Lonchura striata: one gene and its partners. The protein of the gene in region 4 interacts with the protein of the main gene of each other region in a pairwise test. Links are inferred from orthologs where the notes say so. Each region holds a gene or a part of one and is shown on either strand. Other genes may lie near its edges.

What was found.
Region 1: the proteins of YAE1 (region 4) and LTO1 interact in binary tests that used the Homo sapiens proteins (3 or more experiments, as listed by UniProt). The link is inferred for Lonchura striata from reciprocal best matches to the Homo sapiens genes YAE1 and LTO1.
Region 2: the proteins of YAE1 (region 4) and CEP126 interact in a two-hybrid assay, tested with the Homo sapiens proteins (2 studies listed by BioGRID and IntAct). The link is inferred for Lonchura striata from reciprocal best matches to the Homo sapiens genes YAE1 and CEP126.
Region 3: the proteins of YAE1 (region 4) and CHD3 interact in a two-hybrid assay, tested with the Homo sapiens proteins (2 studies listed by BioGRID and IntAct). The link is inferred for Lonchura striata from reciprocal best matches to the Homo sapiens genes YAE1 and CHD3.

What each region holds. Positions count from the first base shown.
Region 1 is NC_134608.1:55,207,613-55,215,520, reverse strand, and holds the start of LTO1 (protein LTO1 homolog), read right to left. Parts: upstream 3,112-7,908; 5' UTR 3,077-3,111; coding exon 3,036-3,076; intron 1,723-3,035; coding exon 1,617-1,722; intron 802-1,616; coding exon 731-801; intron 276-730; coding exon 158-275; intron 1-157. Other genes in the region: FGF19 (fibroblast growth factor 19), read right to left, coding at 7,011-7,343. UniProt on the Homo sapiens protein: The complex LTO1:YAE1 functions as a target specific adapter that probably recruits apo-ABCE1 to the cytosolic iron-sulfur protein assembly (CIA) complex machinery. May be required for biogenesis of the large ribosomal subunit and initiation of translation.
Region 2 is NC_134604.1:42,133,646-42,141,103, reverse strand, and holds the start of CEP126 (centrosomal protein of 126 kDa), read right to left. Parts: upstream 3,221-7,458; 5' UTR 3,152-3,220; intron 2,350-3,151; 5' UTR 2,277-2,349; coding exon 2,224-2,276; intron 1-2,223. Other genes in the region: ANGPTL5 (angiopoietin-related protein 5), read left to right, coding at 6,816-6,917. UniProt on the Homo sapiens protein: Participates in cytokinesis. Necessary for microtubules and mitotic spindle organization. Involved in primary cilium formation.
Region 3 is NC_134636.1:1,912,363-1,920,181, forward strand, and holds the start of CHD3 (chromodomain-helicase-DNA-binding protein 3), read right to left. Parts: upstream 3,236-7,819; 5' UTR 3,134-3,235; coding exon 2,872-3,133; intron 1-2,871.
Region 4 is NC_134603.1:103,309,402-103,317,498, forward strand, and holds the start of YAE1 (protein YAE1 homolog), read left to right. Parts: upstream 1-4,901; 5' UTR 4,902-4,968; exon of another isoform or gene 4,969-4,974; intron 4,975-5,783; 5' UTR 5,784-5,966; coding exon 5,967-6,083; intron 6,084-7,664; coding exon 7,665-7,786; intron 7,787-8,097. UniProt on the Homo sapiens protein: The complex LTO1:YAE1 functions as a target specific adapter that probably recruits apo-ABCE1 to the cytosolic iron-sulfur protein assembly (CIA) complex machinery. May be required for biogenesis of the large ribosomal subunit and initiation of translation.

The DNA of each region.
Region 1 (7,908 bases), on a different chromosome or scaffold from region 4:
ATCAAAGGTTTTCACTTAATTTATCTCACTTCAAGTATTTTGCTATGATTGCAGAATGGGAGCAATAACTGCTTCACAAAATTTTGGAGTGGCTTTAGAAACAAAGTATCTTCAAAAGTGAATTTATATATTAAAATTACAACTTAATCCTACAAACCTGTTTAAATTTTCCTCTGATTTTTTCCAGATCTTCTTGCAGCTTATCATAAGTGGGGTCTTCATATGGGAATTTCTGAATCATCCCTATTAATGAATGCAGAGCCTTTATCTTTTTGCTAGAAAAAACAAAATTAATCAAATCAAAAGAAAACCCAATGATCCTCACACAGGAGTCTTTTCAATCCATCAATATGAAAATTATACTGATATATAATAATCCAGAGCACAAATCCCAGCCCTCCATCCTTCTTTAATTCCACTTCTCCCATTCAGCCCATTGTCAGGTGTGTTCCATATTCTTAAATAAGAAATTATCCAAACTAGGCATTATTCCAAATTGGGAACTAAGCATAATTGACAGATTTAAGGCTTCCATTTCAACTTACTAGTCCAAAATTGAGAAATATTCAAGAATCAACAAAAATTCTGATTAGATGACTGGTCAAAATAAAGAAAAAAAAAAAAAAGGGAATTCTGGCAGACAGATTAATCAAAATGGGACCAAAGAAAAAAGATACAAATAGAAGAATGGAAGTCGTAGTGAAATGACTTTAAGCCTTTTTAACCTCACCTGTTCTTTTCCTCTGTGCTTTTCTGGAGCAGACAGTGCCACGTCAGTGCAAACCCAAGGTAGCAACCAATCTAAAATTAATTTAAAAGAGTCATGAAGGAAAGAAAAAGCCCCACAGAACACAGAGCATAGACAGTGGAACAAAAATAAAACACTACACTGTATCTCACTCTTCAGGAACCTAAAACATGGGTACACAAACATGTTTCCAAGCTGGAAAGGCTGACAAGCATAAGGTTACCCAAGCCACCCTCTCACTTGATGTGTCTAATCCTGCCTCCTTCTGGAGCTTTCCCAGTATGAGGAGATGAGAGCAAATTCTCTCTTATGGTCTGTCCAGGACCATTTTGTACAAACCATCCAGCTCTGGAGACTGCTGTTTGGCATTCCCATCCTGTAGCTGTGACAAACTGACATATGGCACAAGTTGAGGCGCCTCCCCACCAGTCTCCAGCCCCTGAATTCCTAGGAATGGTTATTGATCCGGGTGTGCCAGAACACAGAGCAGAACAGGAACAGTGCCACAAAACCTCCCAGCATCACAATTAACAAAGGGTGCATAAGACACACAGAACTGATTCTTCATGTCTCAAGATTCCATGCTTTTCCCTATGCTGGGCCACAGGAGATGGTACTGGGGGGCAGAGGACCTTTAGCCATAAATTTGGGAAAAAAGATTACCGAAGCTCCATAGAGCAAATAAACAAAACACAACTGCATCTCCTGAACTCTCCAGCTCAAAACAGCATCTTTAAAGCAGTTTTATGGGTCCTCCTGGACACAAACAGAGCAATGAAACACAGCAGGCCTCAGCTTGAAAATTTCTTTGTGGCTGTAATTTTCTAATGACAAGAAGATTCCAGTGCTGAAGAGTTTCCCCATTTACCTCTGAGCCCATCCTGGCTCCGTGGAGCGCTCCGTACCTCCTGCCTTCAGTCATTCCAGCGTGGCTGCCCTCTGCAAGCCCCTCCTGGTAGCCCTCCCCATGGAACCTGGGAGTGCAGAATCACAGCTTGCTTAATCTCCTGTCCAGACCCCCCTTGGAACCTGGGAGTGCAGAATCACAGCTTGCTTAATCTCCTGTCCAGACCCCCCTTGGAACCTGGGAGTGCAGAATCACAGCTTGCTTAATCTCCTGTCCAGACCCCCCTTGGAACCTGGGAGTGCAGAATCACAGCTTGCTTAATCTCCTGTCAAGCTCACACTGGACGCGAGCGGCTCTGGACAAGAAAAAAGTGCATCGTCTCCAAAGCTTAGAAATATCACATAAAATAAATTCAAATTCCAAAATCACAGGCTTGTCTTGGTTGGGAAAGACCTCTGAAATCATCCAGCCCAGCCTTTGAATGATCACCACTGTGTCAACCAGACCAGAGCCCTGAGTGCTATATCCAGCTGTTCCTTGGACACCCCCAGAAATGGTGACTCCAGCAGCTCCCTCAGCAATGCCTGGCAACATTTTCCATTAATTCCTCCTTATATCCAAATTAAACCTCCTTTGGTGCAGCTCAAGGGCACTTCCTTCTGTCCTGTCACTTGCTACCAGGACGTAAAGTCTGGCCCCACATGGGGGCTCCTGTCAGGGAGTGGTAGAGAGGGAGAAGGTTCTCCCTGAGCCTCCTTTTCTCCAGGCTGAGCCCGCCCAGCTCCCTCAGCCGCTTCTCATCAGACTTGTGCTCCAGAGCCTGCCCCAGCTCAATTCCCTTCTCTGGACACACTCCAGCAACTCAATGTCTTGGATTAAGGTGCCCAAAACTGACCCCACAATTCAAGGTAGGGCCTCAGCAGTGCCCAGAACAGGGGGACAGTCACTGCCCTGGTCCTGCTAGCCACACTACTGCTGACACATGCCAGGATGCCATCATCCTTCTTGGCCATCCGAGCACACCTGGGCTCGTGTTCAGCAGTTTCTGGCCAGCACCCCCAACCCTTTTCCCTCTGGGATGCTTTCAGGAACTCTCCCACCATCCTGGAACGCTGCAGGGGTTGAGGCGGCCCAAGGACCCGACACTCGGCCTTGCTGACCTCAGCCCATCAACCCGGCCGGTCCCACTCTGTGCGGAGACCAATCCCTTGGCAGCCTATTCCAGCGCCCGACCATGCTCTGGATGAAGAAGCGTTCCCTGACATCCAACCCCGACACAACCCCAGGCCGCTCCCCGCTGCTCAGGCTCTCAGAATGCGCAGAGAGGCGAACCCTCCCCGCCCTCCTCCTCGGGCTCAGCGCTCGCCTTCCTTCCCTGGCGCTCCGCTGGCAGCTCGCAGCGGGAAGCAGAGGCCCGGCGGAGTGCCTCCGTGCCCTCACCTCTGCTCGGCCATGACGATCCCATCGAACAGGTCGGCCATGGCGGCGCGGGGCACGCCGGGAGCGGACGGCGCGCGCGAGGGGGCGGGGCTCGCGCGCCCAGGGCGCGCCCCCTGGCGGCGAAGCCGCGCCCACACGCGGCTGCGGCGTGCGGCCGCCAGGGGGCGCGCGAGCCCCGCCACAGAGCGGAGTCCGGCCGCGGCTGTGCGTGGAGGAAGCTCGGGTGTCCCAAAAATCCCGCCCCGCGTCCCAAAAATCCCGCCCCGCGTCCCAAAAATCCCGCCCCGCGTCCCAAAAATCCCGCCCCGCGCCTCTAAGCGTTGTCCAGACGCCCCCTGAGCTCCGCCAGCCGTGGCGCTGTGAGTGAGGCTGAGGAGCCTTCTCCCGGTGTCCGACCCGAGCCTGCCCCCACACAGCTTCACGCCGTTTTCTCGGCTGCTATCGCCGGGCGCGGAATGATGGAGTTTGCACATCTCTCTCACGTCACGCTGGTAGCTGTGGCTCTCAAGAAGTGTATTTTTGGTGCAGATGCCCACAGTTTTTCCCTGTGAGGGCGATGCGGTCCTGGCACAGGTTGCCCAGAGAAGTTGGAAAGTGTCCAGAGCCAGATTGGATGAGGCTCCGAGCAACGTCGGAAGGTGTCCCTGCCCCTGGAATGAAATGATCTTTAAAGTCCGTTCCAACCCAAACCAGTCTATGATTCTAAAACGAAAATATTTTTGGTGTTAATACCCACTCAAACTGTAGTGTGCCGTTCTAGGCTGCTTTATTAAAATACTAGTTGTTACAGATCAACACTGGTCAAAGGAAACATTTACAAGCACTTGTTTTAAAGTCAACTTATACTATTGCTTTCCAGATACTTAATGAAAATGTGGCTCTGGGTCACACTATTCTGCCACCCTGGTGTTGGAATATGTATATTTTTGAGGTAAAAAAGAGAAATTTTATTTAATTTATCAGGTTGTTCCCCATTCATATGCAAAGGACACTGGCAGAGTAGAAAGAGAGGCCCCCAAATTTTCCATCAGTTTCAGTGATTTGAGCAGAGGTAAAGTGGACACTGTGACTTTGAATTGATTTATACGTTTTTACACTTCCTCCAATGAAAGAAATGAAGACGCTCAGTATCTCCTTTCCTTCAGCCTCTCAGCTTCTCTAACAACTCGTATTTGCAAATCACAACTTCCAGCTGAGACTTCCCAAGGAGACATTTGACACCTGAGCTTTAAAAACCTTTCAGGGCTGTAAAATGTGCTGCTGCAAATGAAAGCAGCGCCGCTGTCCTCCTGCCTTTGAGGAGCTGTGATGGGCAGGGGACAGGGCTGTGCTGACGGCTGCTGGTGGTGTTTACATTCCCACAGAACCAAAGGTGCTTTTTGGAGGTTTTGCACACCCGGTTCCCGACCGAGTCAGGTGTCGCAGGCATTTCCCAGCAATCCTCCCACCTCAAGCCGAGATCTTGTCAGATTTTGTAAGCAAAACAGCCAGGTTTGGTCAGAGCTGGGATGGGAAAACGACGATGAAAACTGAAGCGCTCCAGGAAGTGGTGTGGGTTAATTTAGCTCCTGGCATTCTTCTCTCTGTCTGAATAAATATTGAACCAACCTCTAATCATGCTGTTGCAGGGAAAAATCATCGTGCCGCCGGTGGAAGAATGTAAGCCAAAGGTGTCAGCAAATAGGGTCACGAGAGAGCTCAGTATGATGTTCCCAAAATGTAAGGTTGCCTATCTTTTCACCCTTGAGAAACATTGCCAATGTTACACCCACTTAAAAAATCTCTCACTGGTTCAGTTAAACTGTGTACCCTCCAAACTCCATTATTTGCCATGTTTCCTGTCAAATCTGTGCCATTTTTTAGTAGAAGAGTAAAAGTGACTTTTCTTTTCTTGCCCAAACTTTAAAAGTTCATTCTTATTTTATTTTGTTTTCTGGGTTTTTTTTGTTTGTTTGTTTGTTTGTTTTTTAAAGAAAGGTCTTGAAAAGCATTCAAAGAAAATACAGTGGCTGATCAAACGAAACCAGAAATGAAACCCCCTTAAATCTGAAAAGCTTTGGAATAAAACAAAGAAAATCAGAACTACCTCTTCCAGCACACAAGGAGTGGGAACCCTCCGGATGTGTGGCAGTGGCTCAGCACAAAAGAGAATGGGAAAACACCATGGGCAATGTTGGCCAGCCAAGAAATCTGCTGTTCCTGTGTCTCACAGCGTTTCCAAATGGAAACATTCAGGGTCTTTTCCTGCCAGAAACTGACATATTTTTCACCACTTTTCTCCCTGGCAGCACTGGTTAGAATGGTTTCCATTTTTAAATGGGAGGAGCCTTCTACCCATAGGATTTTTGGATTTCTTTGTCAAAGGAAGTGGTTGAGTCACCATCTCTGGAGGTATTTAAAAGATGTGTGGATATGGCACTTGGAGAGAGACAAAAGAGTCAAGCAGATTTCAGTGTTGAAGATGATTTTCTCTTTTATTGAAATGTACACATTACACTAATGAAAAGGTACAGAAATTTAAAAATTGGCTAGAATTCCGGCTATTTAAAAATTGGTTAAAAATTGGCTATTGTTGGCTAAAATTCTCTTGATTACAAAGCTTCATGAGATTTGTAACAACTAAAAAACCCACCTTCAGAAGTATATAAATAGAATTTTGAGCATAAATAACAGTAGCAAAATAAACAGATGTATGTATTCAATAAATTAATTATAAATATTGCATTGGCAATGAAGTGCTAGGTCAGAAGAACACCAGTATTTCCACTAGAGCTTTTTTTTTTTTTTTTTTTTTTTTTTTTTACAGAAATCTGTATTATAAATGAACCTTTGGAAACAAGTGGAATCCCTGAACCATCCTTTCCCACCCCCGCCCCCCCCCCCCCCCTCCTTTGGCTTTACCTTGATTATTCCTCCATTGAATCTTTTCAGAGGGAGAACAGAACTTGAAGACATTGAGTGCCTTGGCCAGAGGTACTCACAATCCCTTCTTGCAAGGAGAATCCTGACCCAGTTCTGCAGCTTTTAACTCACTAAACCATCTCTCCACTGATTCCCGTGGATGCTGAATCAAGCCTGGAAGTGACTTGAAAGAATTTCTGATGGTTAAAGGTTAAACACAAAAACCTATTTTATGACTGATTTGACCTATACATCTGTTCTCAGTGTTTTTCTCTGTTTGCTAATGACATATACAGACTTATATACAACAGAATCTTCATTTGAACGTTCATTTGAGCTGCTCATTCCCTACTTGATGAACATCAATCCTAGCCCTGGGTACTCTTCCAATCACACACTGAATCCTCACTGATGTTAATGAGAACTCTCTGCAGATGATTCTGATGCCACAGAGAACATAATTTAGTCTACCAAAGAAATCAATGATCAAGTTTCCCAAAGTACTTCTTAGCAGTATGGGAAGAGAGAATTTTTTCCTTTCTTCTCTTATTTTCTAAGAGAAGAAAAAGCACAATATACAAGCAGATTTGTTTTTTCAGTAGCACTCTTTCCACAGAAAATTTTCCCCAGAATGTTGTTAGCAACCTTTTAAGAAGCATTAACTCAAGTTAGATCTGGTAGGATGTTTTCCTTCATCTAGTTTTGCTCCAAGTGTTTGAGTTTGAAGTCTCTGAAGAGGAAAAGTTTTTCTGCATTTGCTTGTATGATCAGCTACAACAGGTGGAAGTGAAGCTGGTGTAGAAAAACTACAGTTATTTTATCACCACCTATGGAAGAATTCTGATAAGGCTGCTAAACTTTTGGATTTAATTCTTCTTTTCCAAACAAAACTATGGCTAGACAAATCTTTAGACTATAGAACAGCCTCTTGGCACTCATCTCTTACAGGTACAACAAGGACATGGCTGGCTCCATACTCAAACACACAAAAAAGTTCCCAAATACCACTACACAAAAAGCTACAAACCCTGCAGTACTCTTCAGTATTTCTGTGAACACATGTTGGGAGCACAGTCAGTTTTGGAAGCTAGGGCTCTTCACTAGGGACAGTTTGGAGGCGATGCCAAAGGGGTCCATGCTGTCCGTCTCCAGAGGCGAGGAGAAGGCCTCTGGCTCAAAGGCCTGGCTGTAATCACCATATTCACCAAAGTCTGCTGACTCCATGGGCACAGTGTTGATCATGGGCAAGAAGTGAGACAGGGGAAGGAAATCTTTCCCCTTGAACTGCTGTCTTTGTTTGGCACTGCTCAAAGACACTGATATTCCGTGTTTTTTGGATCTATACACATTGTAGCCGTCTGGGCGAATCTCCTCCTCGAAGGAGCAGTCTTCAGTGGAATACCTGAGCTGAAAAGCAAGGAATAGTGAGAATTAAAAATATGCCCACCAGGCTGGTTGTATTCAACCACAAAACAAACCTTGGGTGGGAAAAGTCCTAGTCCCTCAGTGGGGGTATCCTGGCTTTCCCAGTCCCTATTCTATTCTATTCTATTCTATTCTATTCTATTCTATTCTATTCTATTCTATTCTATTCTATTCTATTCCAGAAGCCCTGAAGTTCTTTCCATGTCCATCCCATTAAATAAGCTTTGAATCCTGGGATGTGCTTCTCCACAGCCACTACACTTATCCTGTCTGAGCACTGGGAAAAAAGTCTCAGATGCCAGAGCTGATTTAGAGATTTGCCTGTGCAAGGGCTTCAGGATCAGGTCAGTAGAAAGGCAGAGTGGCCAATCAGTAAAACAATGCTAAAAGGTAATTTCCACCTTTTTCCACTCAGAATTTACTGAAATTGCTAAGGATCCTTTTACAAAGTGTCATTTTCATGTTAACATGAGAACTGTTGAATGAATACTAGCACAAGTTAGGACTTTGTACAGAAGAATGTATTTCCTTAGGTATGAATTTGTAA
Region 2 (7,458 bases), on a different chromosome or scaffold from region 4:
GAAAGGCTGAAAGATCTGGGACTGTTCAGCCTGGAGAAGAGAAGGCTCAAAGGAATCTTCTTAATGTCTATAAATACCTGGAAGGAAGGTGCAAAGAGGAGACAGCCAGGCTGTCTTCAGTGATGCCTGCTGACAGGACCAAACAGAAACACAGAAGTTTCCTTTAGAATATCAGGAAACACTTTTTTTTGGTAAGGATGACAGCATTGACACAGATTGCCCTGAGAGGTTGTGGAGGATTGTCCTTCCTGAGTAGAGGTGTTCAAACAGATCAAGAGGTCCCGTCCTAACTCAACCATTCTATGCGAAGGTTAGAGGTCTGTCACACTTCACAGTGCACTCATTCTTACACTCCACACAAAATATGCAAAAGATACAAATTTTCTTTTGAAATCATACACTAGCAGTGCCAAGAACACTCCTGACATACACCTGTAAGCCCTGGCAGGGAGAATTTTGGGTGCTGCCAGGTGAGAATGTGGAGTTTAAGAACGTCATGCTACTCTTGAGAAACCATCATCACATCTAACACCTTCACATGTATAAGAAAGCTAATGGAACTTGGATCATATAGACTTGAGACACAACCTGAGGGTTGATTAATCAATTCATACCTGCATAAATCCCAGGAAAAAAATATGTAGATTCAAAGAACTTTATTTTCAAATTACTTTCCTGCACATATACAGGATTTTTAATTATCTATGTCACAGCTTGTAACATTGTATGCATTTTCTACCTTTCTAACATTAACTAACTCACTCCTTTTCAGTTATTAGGAGAACACTTGTTACCACAGACTCCATTTGAATTGCTTATTGTGCTAATAATTATGCCATTCTCAATTATCACAAATTGAAATTACTTTGTTTTACGAATACCATACCTAAATTTCTAAGTGACTCACCTGAGTAACTTGGATTTATACTGTGTTTCCTAAGGCTGCAATGAAATACATATGGAAATGTATTTATGTATCCACAAGTATTACTTTAACTACACCAGTCTGTCAAAAATATGCAGGCTGTCTGGTACTTGCTTTTACATTAAAGTATAATATTTCAAGACCAGTATTACAATAAACAGTGTTCATCTGAGATGTGTAGCATTGCAGTGGTTCTGTTCCAGAAAAAGAAATTAGGTATTTAATTTTTCAACTGAGACTTAGTTTATTATCTGCAAAGTTTGTGGGTCGCACTCTGTCTTTAATTACTCACAGTTGATTTTATCTCCTCTTCCATTTCTTTTTATTTCAAAGGGTAAGTTGACAGCACATACTGTCAGGCTAAAATGGCAATATAAACAATAAATACCACCTCTCTTCTGAGTTATGAACATATGCAATAAGTGAACATTGCACAACAGAAGTCATCAGATAAGGGAACTGCAGGGCACAAGCATTAGTGAGTTAACAAGAGGCAGAGGAAGCTGGTCTGAGGCTGGGGGCTTGCAAGGAGGAACCCATCTGCCTCTCCAGTACACACAGCTGAGCCCCCTGTATGTGTGAGCACCACCTCAGTCCTAGGGGAAAAACCTCTATTCCCACTGAACTACTCACAGCACTTCACTGAGACATTTCAGTGCATAATTTACTCAATCCATTTGCCACAGTATATTTCATGGCTTTGCATTCTCATGTATGCAGAAGACAGATTATGCAAAGCTCTGTTTAAAATGTACAAAATAAGTTTATTATAAGTATTATCCTGTACAAGAAAAATGTTGCTTTGTGTTTATTGGGAAATGGGAGCACAAAGCCTTGGCATGAAGGGGAAGCTGAGCAGCTGTTATGCCATGCAGACAAAAAAGCACACACTTCAGAAAGCAACAACTGCCTTCTGCTGGCCCACTCTGTACAGCTGAGTGCATTTTTCATACATGCATTGAAGCTAATAAAACCCAGAACACTAGAAATGCAGATCAGAGCCACAAGATGAAAGTACTACTTACCTTTAGTTTATATGAGATGTGACTACAGTGAGTTTTCAAAAATTAGTGAGCAAATCAGAATATTGCTCGTTTTATTTTATTTGTCCTATAGCAAGAAACTGGATTGCTGAAACTTTTCAGCTTAAATTCCTCTAGGCCAAAGCAGTGAGCTATTTATCAAAATGAACATGAGAATAGTAGAGATATATTGATCTGTCTCAAGGTTATGACTCCTTTTGCTTTGGTTTTATCTTTTTTTTACAATCCTCCATTAAAGGAACCCTAGTTACTTGCCTTCTTCTTCTGTTTGTCTCCATCAAATATTTCATTGCCTTGCTTCGATGCATTTTTTGATCCTCTTTCAATGCCCGACGTTCTTCTTGTAAATCCTGCTCAAAATGAAATATCAAATCTCCACCCCTAAGACTGTGTTAAGGACAATAGAAACTGTATGGAACAGCTCATTAAAAGATATAACAGCCTGTGTGATTGACCTTATATAAAGGAGGTCCCATAATTGTATGTTTACAGTCATAACTAACTTTATGCTCATCTAGAAAAAAAAATAATTGCACTTTACTTTTAAAAAGCATTTTAGGAGAGGCTTTACACTCATCTTTCATTGTATCACCAGCTGAAAAATCCCACCTTTATTATATTCATTTGAAGGGACATTTTGTGTAGTTACCTAAACCTGTAACATAAGGATGCAGATATGAGAAGGAAAATTTTAAATAGTAAACATCCCCTCACACACACACTCCCACACCCTAAAGGATTAGTTGTTTTCACTGAAATTGATTAACATCACTAAATAAAAGCTCTCCAGAGAGCCAGGTCAGTCCTGCATCATGCCAGTAATTATTTACGTAGTAAATAATCTTAAGAGTTTGCGTCAGTAGTTCTTACTACTAAGATTCAAAAAACAAGAACCCCCAAGTTAGGATGGAAAACCCTATTCCTAGTGGCATAATCTCCCAGAAAAGGGAAAACAAGAGAACTCCGAAGCTGCTGGAGCAGTCAACTTTCCCACGGCAGTTTCAAACCCGCAACGTGCAAGTTCCAATTTGAAGACGCCCCTGAGGCGGCCCCTGACCGCGGGGCAGGGCGGGGGCTGCGACACCGGCCCCGGCCCCGCCGCCGCCCGCCGGGCCGCACGCAGCGGCGCGGCCCGGGCCGCACGCAGGCTCGGCCGGCCCGGGAAACGCCGCAGCAAGGATACGCAGGGACGCTCTGCCCGCCCGCGCGGTCCTGCGGGGCCCCGGGCGGGACCTGCCCCCGCGCCGCCCCGCCGGCCGTGCCGCCGAGCTCCGTGCCGCCGAGCTCCGTGCCGCCGAGCTCCATGCAGCGCCGGCCCCGCCGCGCCGCTCCGCGCGTCTCCGCGCCGCGTAGCAACCGGCGGCGCCGCTTCCTTCGCAACGGGGCGGGGCCGCGGCGGGAGCAGCGGCGCGGCGGAGCGCGCTCGGCGGCTCCGCGTTCGCCGCCTGCGGGGCCGGCGGCCGGGAGCCGCCGCGCCCGGCGGTCCTCGTGGGGCTGAGCTCCCTTTCGTGTCAAACCGTGACACGCCGCCAGGGTGGGAGCCGCGCGGGGGAGCCGCTCCTCGCTGTCCCGTCCCGGCGGGAGAGCGTGCGGACACCCTGCCAGGGACGGTGCTCGGCTCTCGCTGCGCTTTCCACCCTCTGCAGCCGCGGCATGACCTCTAAAAGCCCCGAGCACACGGGGTCCGGGCGAGCTCGTGGGCAAACTGCGCCCGGCCCCGTGTGCGGGCTTTGCAGAGCTCTGCGGTGCGGGTGCCTCTTAGGCTTCTTGAAGACCTGGAGATAACACCATAAACTTTTTTTTTTCTTTTTAAACACAGGATGCAGAAATAACAGCAACAACCACCACCAAAGATGTTTTGTGCATCAGTTGATGCACAAAATGATGACTATTATATAAAAAATATTTACAAGTCTATGAATACAGCTACATAAAGAACAAAAAAAAAAAAAAAATCAAAAACAAAACAAAACAAAAAAAAACACAAAAAAAAAAAAAAAACCAAAAAAAACCGAAAAAACCCTCCAGTTTGTTCTAATGACTACAAAACCTTTTTTTTTCCCCCTTTTATTTTATATTTTTTTTTAAGCAAAGCAGGGTGTTGTCTTGGGATATTGCCCTGCCTTGGATGAGCTGTCAGCAACAGGCTAAATGCCTTGGTGATTTCCTGGGGAGACATTTCTTGGCTGATGTATTTGAGCTTAAACCAATTCTTCCTTTTTTTTTTTTTTTTTTTTTTTTTTTCCCAGTGTACAGCTGTTCTATGTCTTTGACTAGGAAGGTAAAAAAAATAGTACTCCGCATTTGTAAAATACTTTTCTCCACAGACCCCTCCCTCATATTTGTAGCACAGTTTGGGAAGTGGGTGTTGCTGTTACCATTTTACGGTCAAGACCAGTGGTGGGCAGGTTGCCAAATGTGTTCAATATTTATAGTATCCCAGTTACTGCCATTTAGAAGACCACCCTAAAATGGAAGTCTTTCAACTCTGCTTCAAAAAATCAACCCAAATTTCACCATTTCTTTGCCCCATCTGTTCTGTTTTGTTGCAGAAGGGGGAAAAGTGGTTGTCAATTTACCACTGTGGGCTTTTCAACCCCCCCCCACATTTAAATTCCCAGATTGCCTGATAAAATGCACTGTTTATTTTAGGATGCAGTAGAAGGCTTTATCAGGATGGAGAACTGAGTCACCCAATCAGAACTGAGACAGAGCTGGGAAATGACAGAATTTGGGCCCGTGCACATCACTTCAACCTACGAGATTGAAGGTCATGGTCAACTCAAGCCACTGACAGATTTTGAGCTTCCTTAGATTTGCTGAAAATTTTCATGTAATACAGCACAACTTGCAGCTTCACCTTAAGATACCTATTGAGATTCAGAAATTCCTCAGTGTTTATATATATTTCTATCTTGTTTACTTTTTTATTAAGTCTCCATAGTCCTTCTTTGTGGTTATTGGATAATTTCTCTTCATGAGTAACCTCACATTTTTCAGACTGTGGGACAAGAAGGTGACAAGCTGAGTGCCATGTAATTCAGAAGTGTATGATTATTCTGGGGCAGCAAGAAACCTGATCTTAAGTAGTTACAGAATGGAAGGTCCTGCTCTGACAGCTGGTTTGAAAGAAGTTTCATAAATTTTACTTTGGGCTGGACACTGATATTCCAGTGAAGGATAAGATCAGCTTTTAAAACTTTGTGGGATGTATTCTGAATTTATTACAAGTCTTATTTGAAGGCTAGAGCATAGCTGTGCTGCTGCAGAAATGCATTTTTCTTTCCTTCTTATTCCAGTGGAGGATTAATCTGCTGATGCTCCATAGTTTTTCTTCAAGCTGTGTAGGCAACTGCATGGGAGAAGATAATGTTCTGACTATTTTAACTATTCCTGCCTGAAATTTGTCACTCTACCTATTGATGTACATAGAAAGAAGAAGAAAAACTGTTAGTTTGCCCTTAATGTGATATATAGAGAGCCATGGAAATCTTTTCACATTTTTCCTTAGACTGAACTAATGATCACAACCTGCATCTTCTGGAGAGAGCATCAAGTGATGCACTAATTAAACCCTAGTAATTCTCATATTGGAAAACTATTATGTACCATGTGGTACTTTAGAAAAAAAAAAATAATTTTGAGAAATACAGAAGAGCCAAAGTTGTTCAGAATTTCACAGGCATTTCAATATACTCCTCTCAGTTACAGGTTCTTAGTGCCATTAAGGTATTAATTTTCAAAGAAAACATTGGATTAAAAAGTGTATTAATCCCCACTCCCAACAAATATTGGTTGCTCCCAACTAGTCTTAGTAGCAAAAACTATTTCCAGTGTATTCCAGCTTTAGATAGAGGTGGAGATTAATCACATTATCAAGCCAAATTTGAAACATTTTCTTCCGGTGTAACATGCAGGTTAACACTGTATTTTAAAGATCCTTTAGACAGTGTATTTCCCAGTGGTACATTGGAAGCTGAGGTTTCATTTATTCAGCCAGATCACAAACAATTTAAATTCTCTAATGTGTCTAAATTCTCTAAGTATGTTTGACCTTTGTGAACTTTTTTTTCCTCTTAGACTGTCAGATCCAGTTTTAAGATACAAAAGTAGTGGAATTGAATGAAATCTGTAAGTGCCCCATAGTTTTAATTAAGCATTTAATTTTCTTCTTTTTCATGCCATTCTCTTGTACTTTGACTTTTTTCAGAGATAAAAATCATTGTACTGAATGACAGACTCAGTACCTGTGTTACAATGGGTGGGCTACCGGTGAAACCAACATACTGCTGTTATTCTCCTGGTAAAAGATTTTCTATGCAATACGAAGTATTAATTTAAAATAATGTTTATTCAGTTCTCTATTTTGAAATTACTTTGATGACATATTCCAAAACTGCCTCCACATCCTGTTCTAGTGCACTATCACCACAGCAGTACAGACTCTTTCATTTTAATGATAAAAAAACTTGGTAAAAATCTGAAAACATCAAGTGATACTAGTTTTTCTTTCAAGCAACCCAGAACACTCATGCCAAATATACAAAAATGCTCAAGAATAGCATATAAGAAAATCTGTCAGAGTTTATGACAATGAAAATATATGTTTGATGTGTCATGTAGAGGTGATAAGCTGTAATTTTCCTTCAGGATTCAAGTAGTAATATATAAAATCTACTGTGCAATTGAAATGTGGTTTATTAAATCCAGGCAGTAAAGGAGTGATGTGTTGGCTGTCCTTTGTGCTGTAGACATTCCCAAATAGTTAGATCAGGCCTTCATAGTGTACAATTCTTTCCACAGAAATTTGAAACCCATCAAAACATTTGCATTTCTTCAAGTAAAAGATGAACCGCCACTTTAGGGTAACTTCATTTATTTGTCTTAATATTTTTTTGTTCAGTTTAGGAAAGACTGTGATAAATAATGGCGAACCTTGTTCACCTAAGGTAAGATTTTCTTTTACTTTGTTCAGATAAGATAATGAATGTAACTGAATGATTTCTCAGAAAAGTGGCAGATGTTTTAAAAATATGGATTGCCTTATTCAAGACTGATATGGAAATACAGAAGAATCAGGTATTTTCAGATAGAGAAAAGAAACTACATTGAAATTGCAGGAATTCAGTATATTAGAACATTTTTGAGTCCTGTATGACAGCTCAGTGGTTATGTCATATTTTTAATCTCATATGCATGACTTTAAATGCAGAGTAACTATTGGTTTTGGCAGAGTTAGTTTTTGCTTGAATTGCTGAGAACAGATTTAATTGCTTATTTCATGTTGGCTTTTGTTAAAGATAAATATTGATTAAAAATATTTGCTTAACAGTGTTTAATTGAACATCTGGTGAGTAGCTGTGATAGCCCTGAAACAAGCCATACTTTCAAGTGTTCTATTTATAAGTTTCTAGAGATCTTTTTATAACTCTTGCATAATTTTTCCTTCTTTATTTTGTGTTTATTTCAAAATTAAAGAAACTTATTCTT
Region 3 (7,819 bases), on a different chromosome or scaffold from region 4:
GGCACCCAAACACCTCAAAACGGGGTGAAATAACCCAATCAGGGTCCTGGAAGGGGAGAAACAGCCCCCAAACACCTCAAAACAGGGTGAAATAACCCAATCAGGGTCCTGGAAGGGGAGAAACAGCCCCCAAACACCTCAAAACAGGGTGATTCAGGTCCTGGAAGGGGAAAAACAACCTCCAAACACCTCAATATAGGATAACACAACCCATTCAGGTCTTGGAAGGGGAGAATCAGCAACCAAACACCTCAATATGGGGTGCAACAGCCGACCTGGGTCCTGTCAGGTACCTACAGCCCCCAACACTCCGCAAAACAGCCACTCTGGGTCCTGGCAGATGCACAGCAACACCCCTCACCCCACACGATGGGGTCAGCTCCCACTTTGGGTCCTGGCAGGGGACATCCAGCCCCTGTCACCCCACATGACAGGTCAGAGCCCACTTTGGGTCCTGGCAGGGGACATCCAGCCCCTGTCACCTCACATGACAGGTCAGAGCCCACTTTGGGTCCTGGCAGGGGACATCCAACCCCTGTCACCCCACACGATGGGCTCAGCTCCCACTTTGGGTCCTGCCAGGGCACCACCAGCCCCCATCACCCCACACGATGGGGTCAGCGCCCAGTTTGGGTCCTGGCAGGGGACATCCAACCCCTGTCACCCCACATGACGGGTCAGAGCCCACTTTGGGTCCTGGCAGGACACCACCAGCCCCCATCACCGCACACAATGGGTCAGCACCACTTTGGGTCCTGGCAGGGCACTGCCAGCCCCATCACCCCACACGATGGGGTCAGAGCCCACTTTGGGTCCTGGCAGGGGACATCCAGCCCCTGTCACCCCACATGACGGGGTCAGTGCCCACTTTGGGTCCTGGCAGGGCACCACCAGCCCCCATCACCCCACATGATGGGGTCAGAGCCCAGTTTGGGTCCTGGCAGGGCACCACCAGCCCCTGTCACCCCACATGATGGGGTCAGAGCCACTTTGGGTCCTGGCAGGGCACTGCCAGCCCCTGTCACCCCACACGATGGGGTCAGAGCCACTTTGGGTCCTGGCAGGGCACCACCAGCCCCCATCACCCCACATGATGGGGTCAGAGCCCAGTTTGGGTCCTGGCAGGGCACCACCAGCCCCTGTCACCCCACATGATGGGGTCAGAGCCACTTTGGGTCCTGGCAGGACACCACCAGCCCCGTCACCCCACACGATGGGGTCAGAGCCCAGTTTGGGTCCTGGCAGGGCACTGCCAGCCCCCATCACCCCACATGATGGGTCAGCACCCACTTTGGGTCCTGGCAGGGCACCACCAGCCCCCATCACCCCACATGACGGGTCAGTGCCCACTTTGGGTCCTGGCAGGGGACATCCAGCCCCCGTCACCCCACACGATGGGGTCAGAGCCACTTTGGGTCCTGTCAGGGGACATCCAACCCCTGTCACCCCACACGATGGGCTCAGCTCCCACTTTGGGTCCTGGCAGGGCACCACCAGCCCCCGCCACCACCGTGTCCCCTCAGGGCCGGTGTGCGGCCAGAGATGTCCCCACACACGGGTGGCCGCACGGTGACACCCGCGGTGACACTCGCGGTTGTTTACAAACACCTCCCTCCCCTCGCAGCCCACCCCCGGTACCGCCGGGAAGCGCCGAGGGGAAAATGGAGCTCAAGAGGTCCCGGTATCGGGGGGAAGCGCTGAGGGGAAAATGGAGCTCAAGGAGGTCTGGGTACCGGCGGGAAGCACTGAGGGGAAATTGAGGCTCAGGAGGGTCCCGGTACCGGCGGGAAGCGCTGAGGGGAGATTTGGGCTCAAAGGGCTCAGGGTGTCCCGGTACCGGCGGGAAGCGCCGAGGGGAAAATGGAGCTCAAAGGGCTCAGGGGGTCCCGGTACCGGCGGGAAGCGCTGAGGGGACAGTGGGGCTCGGGGAGCCTCGGCAGCTGTGGCGGCCCCGGGAATCTCTGAGGGAGTGGGGGCAGACCGGGGGTCTCGGGGGTCCCGGTACCGGCGGGAAGCTCCGGGAGGAGCTGAGGGGACAGCGGGGCTCGGTGGCTGCGGGAGGATCTGAGGGGACGGGTGAGGACCGGGGGGGCTCGGTACCTGCGGGAGGATCTGAGGGGACGGGTGAGGACCGGGGGGGCTCGGTGGCTGCGGGCGCCTCCGGGAAGCGCTGAGGGAGCGGGAAGGGGGAGCTCGGGGGGCGGCCCCGGGAAGCGCCGGGCTCGAGTGGCGGCGAGCTCGGGGGGACGCTTGGGGGGTCCCGGTACCCCCGGGAAGCGCCGGGCTCGAGTGGCGGCGAGCTCGGGGGTTCCGGTACCCCCGGGAAGCGCTGAGGGGCTCGGGGCTCCCGGTAACTGCGGGAATCTCTGAGGGGTTCGGGGTGGTCACTCGGGGAATCTCTGAGGGGTTCGGGGTGGTCACTCGGGGAAGGTCTGAGGGGTTCGGGGTGGTCACTCGGGGAAGGTCTGAGAGGTTCGGGGTGGTCACTCGGGGGGTCCCGGCGGTACCTCGGGGAAGCTCTGAGGGGCTCGGGGTGGTCACTCCGAGGGGCTCGGGGTGGTCACTCTGAGGGGCTCGGGGCGGTCACTCCGCTAAGCTCTGAGGGGCTCGGGGCGGTCACTCTGAGGGGCTCGGGGTGGTCACTCTGAGGGGCTCGGGGTGGTCACTCCGCTAAGCTCTGAGGGGCTCGGGGTGGTCACTCGGGGGGCTCGGGGCGGTCACTCGGGGAATCTCCGAGGGGCTCGGGATGGTCACTCGGAGAGCTCGGGGCGGTCCCTCGGGGGGCTCGGGGTGGTCACTCTGGGGGTCCCGGCGGTCACTCGGGGAATCTCCGAGGGGCTCGGGGCGGTCACTCGGGGGTCCCGGCGGTACCTGCGGGCGCCTCCGGCGGTCCGGGCGCGGCGGGCGCGGGGGGCGGCGGCGGCGGCGGCGGGAGCGGGGCCGGGGCCGGCCCGGCGAAGATGTCGGGGGGCCCTCGGTGCCCGGCCAAGAGCGCGGCGGCAGCGGCGGCGGCGGCGGCGGCGTCTTCCTCCTCCTCTTCCTCGTCGTCCTCCTCGTCGTCGTCCTCCTCGTCCCCCTCGGACACCGCCATCTCCTCCTCCTCCTCCTCGTCCTCCCTCAGCGGGGACGCCATGGCCGGCTGAGGGGCGGGGGGCCGGGGGGACCCTCGGCGTGCGCCGCTCCCACCGCCCCAAACCGCCCCCGCCGCCGAGGCCGGGGGGGCTCGGTGTGAGGGGAAAGTGGGGAGGGGGCGGGACGGGGCGACCCCCCCCGGGCCGGGCCCGGCGGGGCCGCGCGGGGGGCGCGGGGGGGGCGGCGGCGATGGGTTGAAAAACGCCCGGATCGGTTAAAATCGCCTCAGGGCGCGGGAGGCGCCGGGCGGCGGGACGGCGCCGGCAGCGAAAATGGCCGCCCCGGGTGTAATTTTAAAATAAACCCCCCCCCCCCTTTCAACACACACACACACAAAAAAAAAAAAAAAAAAAGAAGAGAAAAAAATATATATAATAATAAAAAACACACCCCGGTAAAGGGGGGGGAAAGGCGTAAAAAAATATGGAGGAGGGAGGGGTTAAAAATGAGGGAAATGGGGGGGTGGTGCCCCCCCCCTCTTCTTGAGGGAAAAAAAAAGCGCAAAATGGCCGAATGAGGGTTTTTTTTTAAAGTTGCCCCACACGCACCTTAAGGGAGGAAAGAGGGTGAAAAAGAGGGGGGAAAAGCCTCAAAAACGCACAAAAAAGCGATAAAACCCAACCCGCGAAAGGGGGAGGGGAATTAAGGAAGGGGAAAAAAAATTGAAATTAATATTTTAGGGGAAAAAAAAAAAAAAGGAGGAAAGGGAAGCGTTCAGGGAAAAGAATGAAGGAAATAAAGGGGAGAATTGAAAAGGAGTTAAATTGGAGGGGAAAGGGAGGGTGAAATGACAAAATGAGGTGGAAAAATGGAAAGGGGCAGGAAGGAGAGGCAAAAAGGGGTAAAAATCGGCATTAAAATTTAAAATGGGGAAGGAATGGGAAGAAAAGGGACAATCGAGCTTAAAATTGATATGGCAAAAGAGGAGAGTCAAAAATAAACATTAATATTTAAAAAGGGAAGGGAATGGAAAAAAGGTTAAAAATAAACAAAAACCAGAAAGGGCTGAAAAGGGTAAAAATAAACATCAAAAAAAAAAAAAAGCGCCAAAAAACCTTAAAAATCAACCGCGCGACGTAAAAAAAAAAAAAAAAATTAAAAAATTAGAAACAAAAGCCACGAAAAATCCTTAAAAATACAAAAAAAAAAAAAAATCAAAAAGCACGAAACCCCTGAAAAATAATAAATCCCAAAGCTCCCCCCACCCCACCCCCCCCCAGCCTTCGCCGTTACTGCCCGAGCAGGCGAATAATCCTCATCCTGCTCATTTTAGGGTATTTTTGGTCGCTTTTGGGGCCTCATTAATGATATTATTTTGCTTTTCCCCCTCCCGAAGATCCCGGCTCGGCGAGGGACAAATATTTGTGTGGCCCCAGCCGGGGGGGACCCGAAGCCGGAGATTTTTCTGCATAAAACAAAGATGGCTGCGGTAAATTATTTCTTTTTTTTTTTTTCTGCTTTTTTTTTTTTCTTCTCTTTCTCCTTATTCTTCCCCCCCCCCCCCCCTCACTCCCATAAAAATATTTCGGGGGGGGATTAATCAGTACTCATGCTCAGTGTGACATCAGCATAAATTGTTAAAGGTTAACTAGTTCCATACTCGTCACGCTTCCCTTTTCATTTTTTAAAGGATTTTTACCCTTCCCCCCCCCTTTTTTTTTTTGCCCATTCCTCCCCCCTCCCTCGGTGATTTTAAACACGCACTAAAAAAAAAAAAATTAAAAAGCAAATTTTTTTTTATTTTTTTTGTTCTTTCTCCCTCCCTCCTCGACTTTGAAATACTTGGGAAGGGAGTGGTTTGGTGGGTTGGGTTTTGGGGTTGTTGGGGTTTTTTTTTCTTTTGGGTGTTTTTTTTTTTTTTTTCTTTTTTTGGAGTTTCTTTAAGGCTGCAACGGAGGAAGAACAAAAAAAAAGGGGGGGTTATAAGGTTTAAAAAAAAAAAGGTTGAGGAAGGGGTTGGAAAGATAGAGGTGGGATTAAAAAAGGTTGGGAAAGGGGGAAAAGATTGAAAAGGAATAAAAAAGATTGAAAAGGGGGAAAATGGAAAAGGAAAAAGATTAAAAAGGGGAAAAATTGAAAAGGGAAAAAACTGAGAAAGGGAAAAAGGATTGAAAAGGGGGAAAAGATTGGAAAAGGAAAAAAGCTTGGAAAGGGAAAATAATGAAAGGAATAAAAAATATTGGGAAAGGGAAAAGGATTTTAAAAGATGCAAAAAGAAAAATGTTGAGAAAGGGACAAATGGTTAGAAAAGAGAAAAGGTTGAAAGAAAAAATATTTTTTAAAACATTGCAAAAGGGAAGAAGATTGGAAAAGGACGGGAAAGGGAAGAAATTATAAAGGGAAAAATTGAAAAAGGAAGAAAATACTCAAAAAGGGTGGAAGCAGAAAAATATTTAAAAGGATGAAAGTTTTAAAATGTTGAAATTGAGAAAAATATTCAAAAAGGAACAAAAGTCACTAGAAGTATTGAAAAATGGAGAAATAATAAAATGAAAAACATTTAAGAACAAAAAAGGATGGAAAGGGAAAAGCTATTTAAAAAGGAAAAAAGTTTGGAAAAGGGGAAGAATAAAAGAGAAAAAGAATGAAAAGACAGAGAAAATGAAAGAAAATTTAAAATGTAAAAAACTGAAAAAGATTTAAAAATTGAAAAAGGAAAAGAAGGATTAAAAAAGGGGGGAAATACTGAAAGAAAGGGAAAAGTATTAAAGGGGGGAGATAAAAAATGGGAAAAAGATTCAAAAGAGGGACAAATACTAAACACAGAAAAATACTTTAGAAAGGGGAAAAGTATTTTAAAAGTGGGCAAAAATCAAAAAAGAAAAGATTTGGAAAGAGTTAAAGTGATGGGGAAAGATTCCAAAAAGAGAAGAAAGTGTTAAAAAAAAAAGGGGGGAAAAGGGGGAAATTAGGAAAAGGGGAGGGAAAAAAAGGTGGAAAGAGAACAAATATTGAAAAAAGGGGGAGAAATTGAAAAAGGAGAAAGAAAATATTAAAAAGGGGAGAAAAAAGGGTTTAAAGTTCCCCCAAATCCAGGCCAAATCCTCCCCCCAAAAAAACCCAGAGGTGAAATGGAGGAGTTTGTCCTCAGTGATGGTTTTTAGGGGTGAAGTTGCCCAAAATGCTCCAAAATCACCCCAAACCCCCCAGGCTGTGCCTGCCCCTACCCCACCTCTGGAGTTTGCTGCCTTTTTTTTCCTTCCCCTTCCTTTCTGGGGCCTTTTTACCCCAAAAATGATGGGAAATGGGGTAAAAACCACTCCAAGTTTGGGGGTTTTACCCTATTTGGGTTTTTAACCCAAAAGCTGTTCCTGGTTGTTGTCACTCAGAACAAGGAACACCCAAATCCCCCAAAATCCACCCAAAACCTCGTGTGACACCCCCAGAACCCCCAAATCCCCCCAAAACATCGTGTGGTACCACAAGAACCCCAAATCCCCCCAAAAGAACCCCAAATTCTCACAAATTTTCCCCAAATTTTCCCCAAAATCTCGTGTGACACCCCCAGAACCCTCAAATCCCCCCAAATTCCACCCAAAATCTCGTGTGACACCCCCAGAACCCCCAAATCCCCCCAAATTCCACCCAAAACCTTTTGTGACACCACAAGAACTCCAAATCCTCACAAATTCTCCCCCAAAACCTCGTGTGACACCCCCAGGACCCCCAAATTCCACCCAAAATCTCTTGTGACACCACAAGAACCCCAAATTTTCACAAATCCCCCCAAATTCTCCCCAAAAACCTCATGTGACACCCCAAGAAGCCCCAAATCCCCCCAAAATCTCCCCAAAACTTCATGTGGCACCACAAGAATCCCAAATTTTCACAAATTCCCCCCCCAAAATCCCGTGTTACACCCCCAGAACCCCAAAATCCCCCCAAATTCCACCCAAAACCTCGTGTGACACCACAAGAACCCCAAATTTTTACAAATTCCCCCAAAATTCTCCCCCAAAAGCCCTGTGTGACACCACGAGGGCCCCAAATCCCCCCAAATTCTCCACCCAAACCCTCGTGTGACACCACAAGAACCCCAAATTCTCACAAATCCCCCCAAATTCTCCACCCAAAACCCCGTGTTACACCCCCAGAACCCCAAAATCCCCCCAAATTCCACCCAAACCCTTGTGCAGCACCACAAGAACCCCAAATTTTCACAAATCCCCCCAAATTCTCCCCAACCCTCGTGTGCCACCCCCAGGACCCCACACCGCAGAGGTGACGCCGTTTTTGGGGCCGGTTGTGCCTTTTGTCACCCCGAGCCCTCCCCGGGGCCGATTTTGGGGCGTTTTGGCCCTTTTTGCCCCTTTTGCCTCTGTTCGGTGGCTCTGCTGCTCCTGGCAGCCCGGAGGTGTCACCGGTGTCACTGTCACACCCCAGGGGGGTGGCACCAGGTCGGGTGGTGACAGCGTCACCCCCTGCCACCGCCGCCGGTGTCCTGGTGGGGACGGTGACAGCGGTGACAGCGAACGGTGACAACAAACGGTGACAACGAACGGTGACAACGGCGCTGTGGGGACATCGGGGACATGTGGGGACAGGGACAGGGATGGGACAGGGACAGACACAATGTGGGACATGGGACAGGGACAGCTGGACATGGACAGGTGACACAGACACATGGACAGGTGGCACGGACACACAGGTGGCACAGACACATGGACAGGTGACAGGAACACACGGA
Region 4 (8,097 bases):
TTTGAGCTGGGATGGGTATACAGCTCATTTTTATCTCAGCCATACTATCTTTTTTATGGTGTTAGAGTTATTATCAAAACTCCAGAATTAAAATGTGGGTTACTTTTAGGGACAAAAACTTTTCTTATTTGAGGAGCAAACTAAGGAAAATGACAGAAGATAATTGTTTTGGTACTAATAAAGTGTACCTTTTGCTCTGCTTAGTATGCAGCAGTGCAGAGTACAGTTTTCCAGACTGCAAGCCCTGAGGACATTCAAGGAAAGCCCGGGGAAAGCGGGGGGGGGGGGGGGGGGGACGGAGGGGACGGAAATACTCCTTTACTTAGCCACTTCCACTTGCAATTTGGTTTAAGCCCAGCTGCTGGCAGTTCATGAAACAACATGAAAGGTTGCTTTGTGAGGATCTGAAATGGTAATGATTCTGCAAATAAGAAAACTGTCCTGTTGTAATATTTAACTATCAAAGTTCTGTTGCTTTGGTTATACAGGTGAAGCAAGAAGCAGAAAAAGTATCCTCTCCCTTGAAAATACTTGTGTAAGAAGTAATGGCAAAAGAGCTATTAAGACTCCTGTGGTGCTTGGAAGTGAATGTTAGGCATCTACCTTTGATACCTTCTTTTCTATATCCTTCCATTTTCTTCTCACATTAAATGTGACATTTTGACCCAGCATTGTTGTTGCAATATTATTGTATGCTATTAAAGAAGACAGAAGTGATTTCACAAAAAGCAGATAAGTAATTCATATATATTAGTTACCTTCATCAGAAGAGGGTGACAGGGCTTCACTAGTAAATTGTATTAATACCTGTATGAGAGCTATTACAGGAAAATACAGAAGTGTATGTTTATTACCATGCCCTGGTAATACTCATTGATTCTAGAAGTTTATTTTAACCCTCTTGTTCAGTTTAAGGGCATTATAGTCTCCTATGCTGTGAGCTGCAATATTTAAAACCTCATTAAGCCTATGACCTTGCACTTAACCTCTTTGCTCACTGTTTCCTTCTCTGTGGTAGCAAAGTATTTTTGTGCTGGAGGTCACTGTATTATTATTGAAATTCAGCCAGCAATGCACAACCCCACGACCCTGTGCATGAAGAAAAGATGCACAGATCCAAGATCAGGACAGAGACGTTGACTGCATGTGAGAGTCTTTCTTGATGCTGTTGTAGGCAGTCCTACTAATGCCCTGTTATCATGATATTCATGGAAAACAGCCTAGAATTTGACTAGGCAGTAGAGCCACATACCCAGAAAAGACTACAGACCTGACCATAGAATATGTACACACTTTGGGAGAGACTTTAAGGCTCTTCAAAAACATTGGTGACAATGCATATACCATCTTTATTAAATATTGACCATTTGTATTCTCCTCACATTTTGATAGCTTGCTCTTTTTCATTATGTTTTTGTCTTGTTTACTATAGAAGACAAGTAAACATTTAAATGTTTAAATTAATTAAATGTTGCTGAAATTTATCCAAATACCATTTAAGAGCTTAGATTTCTAAAAAGAATGATATTATTCCCAAAGTTGGAGTCAATGTAACATGGCTCTGTCAGTCCATAAGCATTGCATGACTGGAGAACAATTTACAGTGTAAATAGTCCTCTGCTCTGGGTCTTTCACAAGGCTTTACTTAATTCTGTCAGGGACAACAGCACACAGCAACAGAAAGGGCTGTAGTGAGAACGAAAGGAACTTGCACCACAGAGTGGCCCATGTACAAGTCCTGGTCAAGGTAATCAACCACCCTTCAAAAAAGCTTGAATTCTTCAGGTGTCTGCACTATGACAAAATCCACTGGATACTCCCATCCATTTCTGTTCGAGAGACAAAGTTGTGTAATAATGATCTGAATAGGAGCAATGCTTTATCTGAAGCATTATATGCAGTAAAAACAGTGCAAAGGAACACTCTATGACAATATGCTATTATATTTCACTTTTGGAAATCACTTGTGGCTGATTGCTTAATGGCAAACTTTACTGCTAAGATGAAACTGGCAGAATTCCTGTGTAATTATCTCCTGAAATCTCTAGTTAGTACTAAGCTCTGACTGTGTACTGACCCCTCTGGAAGCTCTCCCCAGTACACCAGGAAAGCAGGAAGTAACTGCTGAGATACGCATGTCCATGTTCCAGAAGTACCTTTGTTATTATCAGATACCCTAGGCCTAAAATTTGCCTGGTTTTAAACTTAGATATGGCATTGGCAGACTTTACAATGGCTCACAAGTCAACTACTTAACTTTTTACAATTTCAGGCAACTTTATTGTGCAAAAATATCAGAACTGACTTTTAGGCAGTGAAATATTGCTCTCTGGTTTTGATATTCTGGTATCTTGACAGTGGCACCAAAATACACAAACATTGTCCCATTTAGAAGACACGTAAGTGTGGAAAACATCCACATCCCGAGGCACTGCACCTCACCCTCAGTCCCAGCACTCCTGTCCAAGCCATCAGTATAGAATCACATTGTCTTCAAGTTCCAACTGTACTTCATATCCCAACAATGTTGCTCTATGTATACAATGATTCACCTAATTATCCACCCACAACTAATAACATAAAGGGGTGGAAATTTCTTAATTTTTTTCTCACAGTTATAAAGACTTAAACAATGTCCTGGTTTGTAAGATAAGCTTGTATTCTATTTGCCATCTGTTGGAGGTTGGGCAGGTTTGTTATCTTTTCCAAGAGCAATGGTTTGCTCCGAGGTAATGGTTTGTTAGTGGGCCATTGACTGACTCAATGCAGGGCTGGTAACGTAACACCATCCCATTGTGAGATGCTCCACCCAGAGGGGGAAGCCAAGCACTCTTTTATTGTATAAAGTGGTACCTTTTGGGAGACAAAGCAGCTCACTCTCTTTGCGGGATTCCCAGAGAAGCAGCTCCTTCGGCAGGACTCCCGAGAGAAGCGGCCGGAGCGCGCTGAGGCGGCGGCGGCGGAGCTCGGAGGCGGCCCCGGCGCAGAGGAAGACCGGCCCAGCTGCCACCAGATCTTCAGAGAAAACTATACCCTTCTAAAGATCACCACTGCAGCTGCAATTCATCAACCACTGCAAGAGGAGCAGCTATCATTTCAACCGGACTGCTACTGGCACCCCGAATCCTCAGGTTGTGGACTTTATCACTAGTTTTGTTTGTACCAATTGCATTTGCCTTTTTAAATTGTTATCTAGTTTTCTCCTAGTAAAGAATTGTTACTCCCATTCCCATATCTTTGCCTGAGAGCCTTTTAATTTAAAAATCCTGGTAATTTGGAGGGAGGGGGTTTACCTTCTCCATTGCACAGGAGGCTTTTGCCCTCCTTCACAGACTCCTGTCTTGTCAAACCAAGACAACTCATTTCCATGTGTATGGGATGATCAACTTGGTTAAATTTAAGACATTTAAGCTAATAGCATGAATCTGGGAAACTCACAGCTTCCTTGAGCCATGACCTGTGTATCTTTTCCAGAAGAGCAAGAGGCTGATGAGACAGAAGATAATAAGCAAAGAACCCTTATTAAACCCAAGTTTAATAGTGCTGTTGCCAGATGAAGAATTGTTTCCACATGGTGAATTTTTGCTAAGTGTCATTATGACCAGTTAAAGTTTTTTGTTGCCAGAAGGGATTTTCGTGACTGTGCATTTGTTCATGCAGGCAATAGTCAGTATTGTTATCTTTTTTTTTTTTTTTTTTTTTAATGGCAGAGCTAGCATCTGCCAGATGGGAGTTGAAAGTGACATAAGTGGGCTAGGAAATCAGCAATCATTGACATGTGTAGTAACTGCTGAGGAACAGATATGCAGTTGTGGCCATCCAGAGGCATCAGTGTCATTTTGGCACCTGACACACAAATTTCTAGAAAGATTGGGTTACTTGACTACTCGTTCCTCAGCATTCAACCATGAGCGAGCATCCAAGATGGGCCAGAAGGAAGAGGACAGGCTGTCTGCAGAGCAGAAGGGAGGAAAGGGAGAGCAGCAGCTGCACGCTCGTTTGTCTCCTGGTACATGCAGAGCCCTGCTGCTGTCCCTGCAGTGTCCCAAGCCCTGCTTGGGGACAATTATAATTTATAATGTCCCCAGCCACCCCAGGCCAGGAGACGAGCCAGCGGGCAGTGGCTGGGGCAGTGTGGTCCCGTGGGGAATCTCGGATGTTAGGGCTGCCAGGGCCCGCAGGGCACCGAGCACAGGCGGAGCTTACTGAACAGCTTCTGGCAATTCCGAGAAGCAGGCAGCTTCAATTCCAGTTTGATCTGTTGTGTGTTCATGAAGATTAATCAGCTTTAAACCTATGCTCATAAGCCAAATGCACCATGCACCAACACTGTTGTATTTATGTTTCATTTACGTCAACAGGATATTCCTTTCTTTCTCTAGTCAAAAGTCAGCACGGAAACACTTGACTCCCACTGGCATCTTTCATATTAAAAAGGATTTATCTGTGTAATACCTGGGTCTTGCAGAGGATAGCTTAAGGGCATGCTTCACATAAAGTGCTTGACGATTCTGAAGTCAACAAGACAGATGTTTTTTTTTTTTTAAGTCCACCGTTTATGATGGAAAAGATGATGAAACCTCCATGCCCCGAGGGACGCGTTGACCCTAGGGTTGTCCTGCGGTCACTGTGGGAGGCCGAGGCAGCTACATGCCGCTCCCTCCAGAGAAAGAGGGAGGTGGTGACGGGGTAAGCGGATCCCGACTGCGGCAGCAGCTCCCGGCCCATTGGCGTCCGGCGTCCCCAGAGCAGAGCAGGGCAGGGCCGGGCAGGGCAGGGCTGGGCTGGGCTGGGCTGGGCCAGGCCCGGCCCCTAGAAGAGCTGCGCCCTCACTCAAGATGGCGCCTTCAGCATCACCGAGGAGCTCTGACGTAGTGGCTGTCGCTGCCCAATGAGCTGCGCCGGCAGCGGCATCCGTTTGCCCTCAGTGAAGATGGCGGAGCGCGGCGTGGAGTGCCGGCGGCTGCGGTGAGGGTCAGTGTGCGGGGCCGGGCGAGGGGAGAAGGAAGCAAGCAGCGCGGAAAGGCGAGCGTCTGCGGCCGGGCGGGGGAGAAGGAAGGCTCCCCGCAGCGCGGCCGCTTCTGGGGAGCCGGGCACGTGCGCGGCCGTGAAATGGCGGCGGGGCCTGGCGCCGGCTGCGGGGCTGGGGGTGCCCCGCTTGCCCACCGCAGGCGGCGGGACCCCGGCCGGCTGGGTCCCAGCGCCCTGGCTTCTCTGAGAGCCGCGTGTCTCCGCAAGGAAGTGCCCGTGTGTTCATACAGTTTGCAGCGAGGCAAATGAATTAGCTGTGAAACGCTTCTCGAAGTTTTCGTCATACAAAAATATTAAATAGCCCGAAAATTTCTGCTTCGCACTGCATCAGCACTTTCTAATTCTTTATTCAAAACATAAAGTACTGTTTCTCCTTTATAAGATCGTTAAATATTTGGCATAATCAGAAAACTGTAAATCAACGGTGAAGGTACTTCCCAGTTATTGACTCTGCAAGTGTTAACCTGCGTGTAGTAAATTTTGTACACAATATGTAAAGTTGTGTGTATACATACAACTCGTTTTAGGGCACCACATGGAGGCTGTATGGGACTATTTGTCAGCTGCTGTTGGAAGCAAGTCATAAAGTTGTTTCTGCCAGCTGCCCTTGTACTGGCAGTATTCATAAATGCTGCGTTGGCATCTGTATGTGTGTGTCAGTGCCATAAGATGGGAAGGAGCTATCATAAATTGCCCTAATATATCTCAGAACTTAATTTACAAACAATGATCTGATTGCCTTTTCTTGACAGATGCACCCCAGTGGCACACAGCACCGAGTTCCCATGTACAGCTTGAATAATCAGCTCCATACCTGGCTTCTCTTCAGAATTCAGTTTTTTGCCAATACTTCTAATCTGACATTCACCAGAGGCACTTCTGAGAGTTTCTCCCTTTTTCTACCATATAAACAGAAGTCATAGGGCACTGCTGTTATGTCCTGGGTACAAGTGGCAGTCAGGCAGTCCAATGAGGATATATTTGATGAAGATGCAGATGAAATGTGTCTACTACAGAAGGAATGGAACAGCACTATGAAAAAGAGGTTGAAGGTATTTCTATAAAAATTATTTAATATACTTTTTAGTCATTTTAGATTTAGTGACATTTAACTTGGTATACATTTGAATGATTCAAAGGGAAAAGTAAAAGCAGCTGCTTAAAAGTTATTGTGGCATACTTTCTTCTGAATATCAGGAAAATATGGCAGAAATTTACATAAACAGTTTATGTAAAACTAAGAGCAAAGTACTGTTTTACCAAAAGACACTGACTCCTTCTGCACAACCATGTGTGTTTATAAAAGGCAGTGCTAAATTGTGATGCAAGCTACTTGCTTTGTACTTGTAGTTATACCCCTAGTAAATGAAGGGCAACAGAGCTGAACAGTGTGAATAAAGAAATGTGAGATGTTTGGGGTTTTGAGTATAGTTACTCATCAGCAGAATGCAAGATGTGTGACTCCATGTGTAACCACAACTGGGCGTTGTGGTCTGTGTAGGTCTTTGGTTGATTTATTCTCCAAGTGAAATATATATTTTATGAAAGCTGCTTTCCACAGCCCTTGCCTCTGCAGTTTTGTAGGGAACAAAACAAGTTCATAAATAGATTAATTCAATAGATACTGTGTCATTCAGAGTGGGGTCAGTAGGGCTCCTCTGCTCACAGTTGAGCAGCGTTTGGCTGAAGAACATGGATGGAAACCATAGGCAGTCAATGACGAGGAATGGTATTACAGCAGACTTGGTGTAGTTTCCTTCATCTGAGTTCCATGAAAAGATTGGTTTTCTTAAGGAACTGTTTAGTGTTCTTACAGAAATCCCACCGATATTTTTGAGTAGATGCTGCAAAATCATGAAGGGTTGTTGAAGTTAGAGTTGTATGTTGGGGAGAATAAATTTTTGTGCTCCAGACTACTTTTCTAGCAAGGCCACAATGAACAAATAAAACTTTTTGCTTTTGTAGCCTGCAATTTTGGTGTGAAAAAATGTTAAGAATTATTCTATATAACCTTGTATTGTGGTTATAATATAAAGAAAGTACTTTGCATTTCAATCATTAGCTGTATATTTAAAGAAAGCAGTCCCAGTGTTATGTGTATTTATATGTGACTCACTCAATCACGGTCTCTTTTTCTGCTATAACTCTTGAATGGAGTGAGGTCCAGCAAATAAAGGAGCAATGCTCGGCAGTTAATTTTGTGAAAATAAATGGATTCCGTGTAGATGGATTACAGATAGAAGAATACCTCTACTAAAGGGGAAGCTTGGCATATCTTTTTAAACAGAAAAAAAGGAAGTCTATGTGGTACTTCTAAGTCCATTTCTCACAAAGGAGTTGGTAATCATTAAAAGCAAACATGCTTCTTTTTTGATCTTTCTAAAAGAAGTTTCCCTCTTTTCTCACTTTCTGGGGAAAGTAAAAAACTGCATCTTATAGGTCAGTAAATCATAATATACTGCAACAAGCATGTTTTGGTTTGCCAGTGGGGGATGTTGAGATATAGAAGCTGTATCTTAAGAGATTGAATATTTGTGATACTTGTTTAAACTTCTTTATTATTGTTGTTATGTATTTGTCGGAGGTCAACTTTGTCATGTTGTGAGCAACCTGTTTCAATGCTTTTGTTACAGGAAGGCTATAGGGATGGAATTGAGGCCGGGAAAGAACTTGCACTCCAGACAGGCTTTAATCAAGGTTACAGACACGGTGCCAAGCTGATGATTACATGCGGCCAGTTCAAAGGAATCCTGAAGTAGGTTACAAACTCCTTAGGGTCAAGTATAGGTGGAGGATGTGTAACAGGGGAACACACATGCAGGTTTTTGTTTGTTTTATTCAAAAACCAAACCAACCAACCAAAAAAAAAACCAAACAAAAAGAACCAACATATTTTGAAACTGTCTGAAGTGAGCAACCTGAGAATTCCCGCATCTTGAGAACAGGGAATGCCTACCTGGGTGTAGAAATACTAATTTTTTAAAAGTCTCTTTCAGTTGCTCTTACAAAATTGTCTGAATCTACATATTTAACATTTAGTTCTACTGCCTGAATTTTCATAAATCG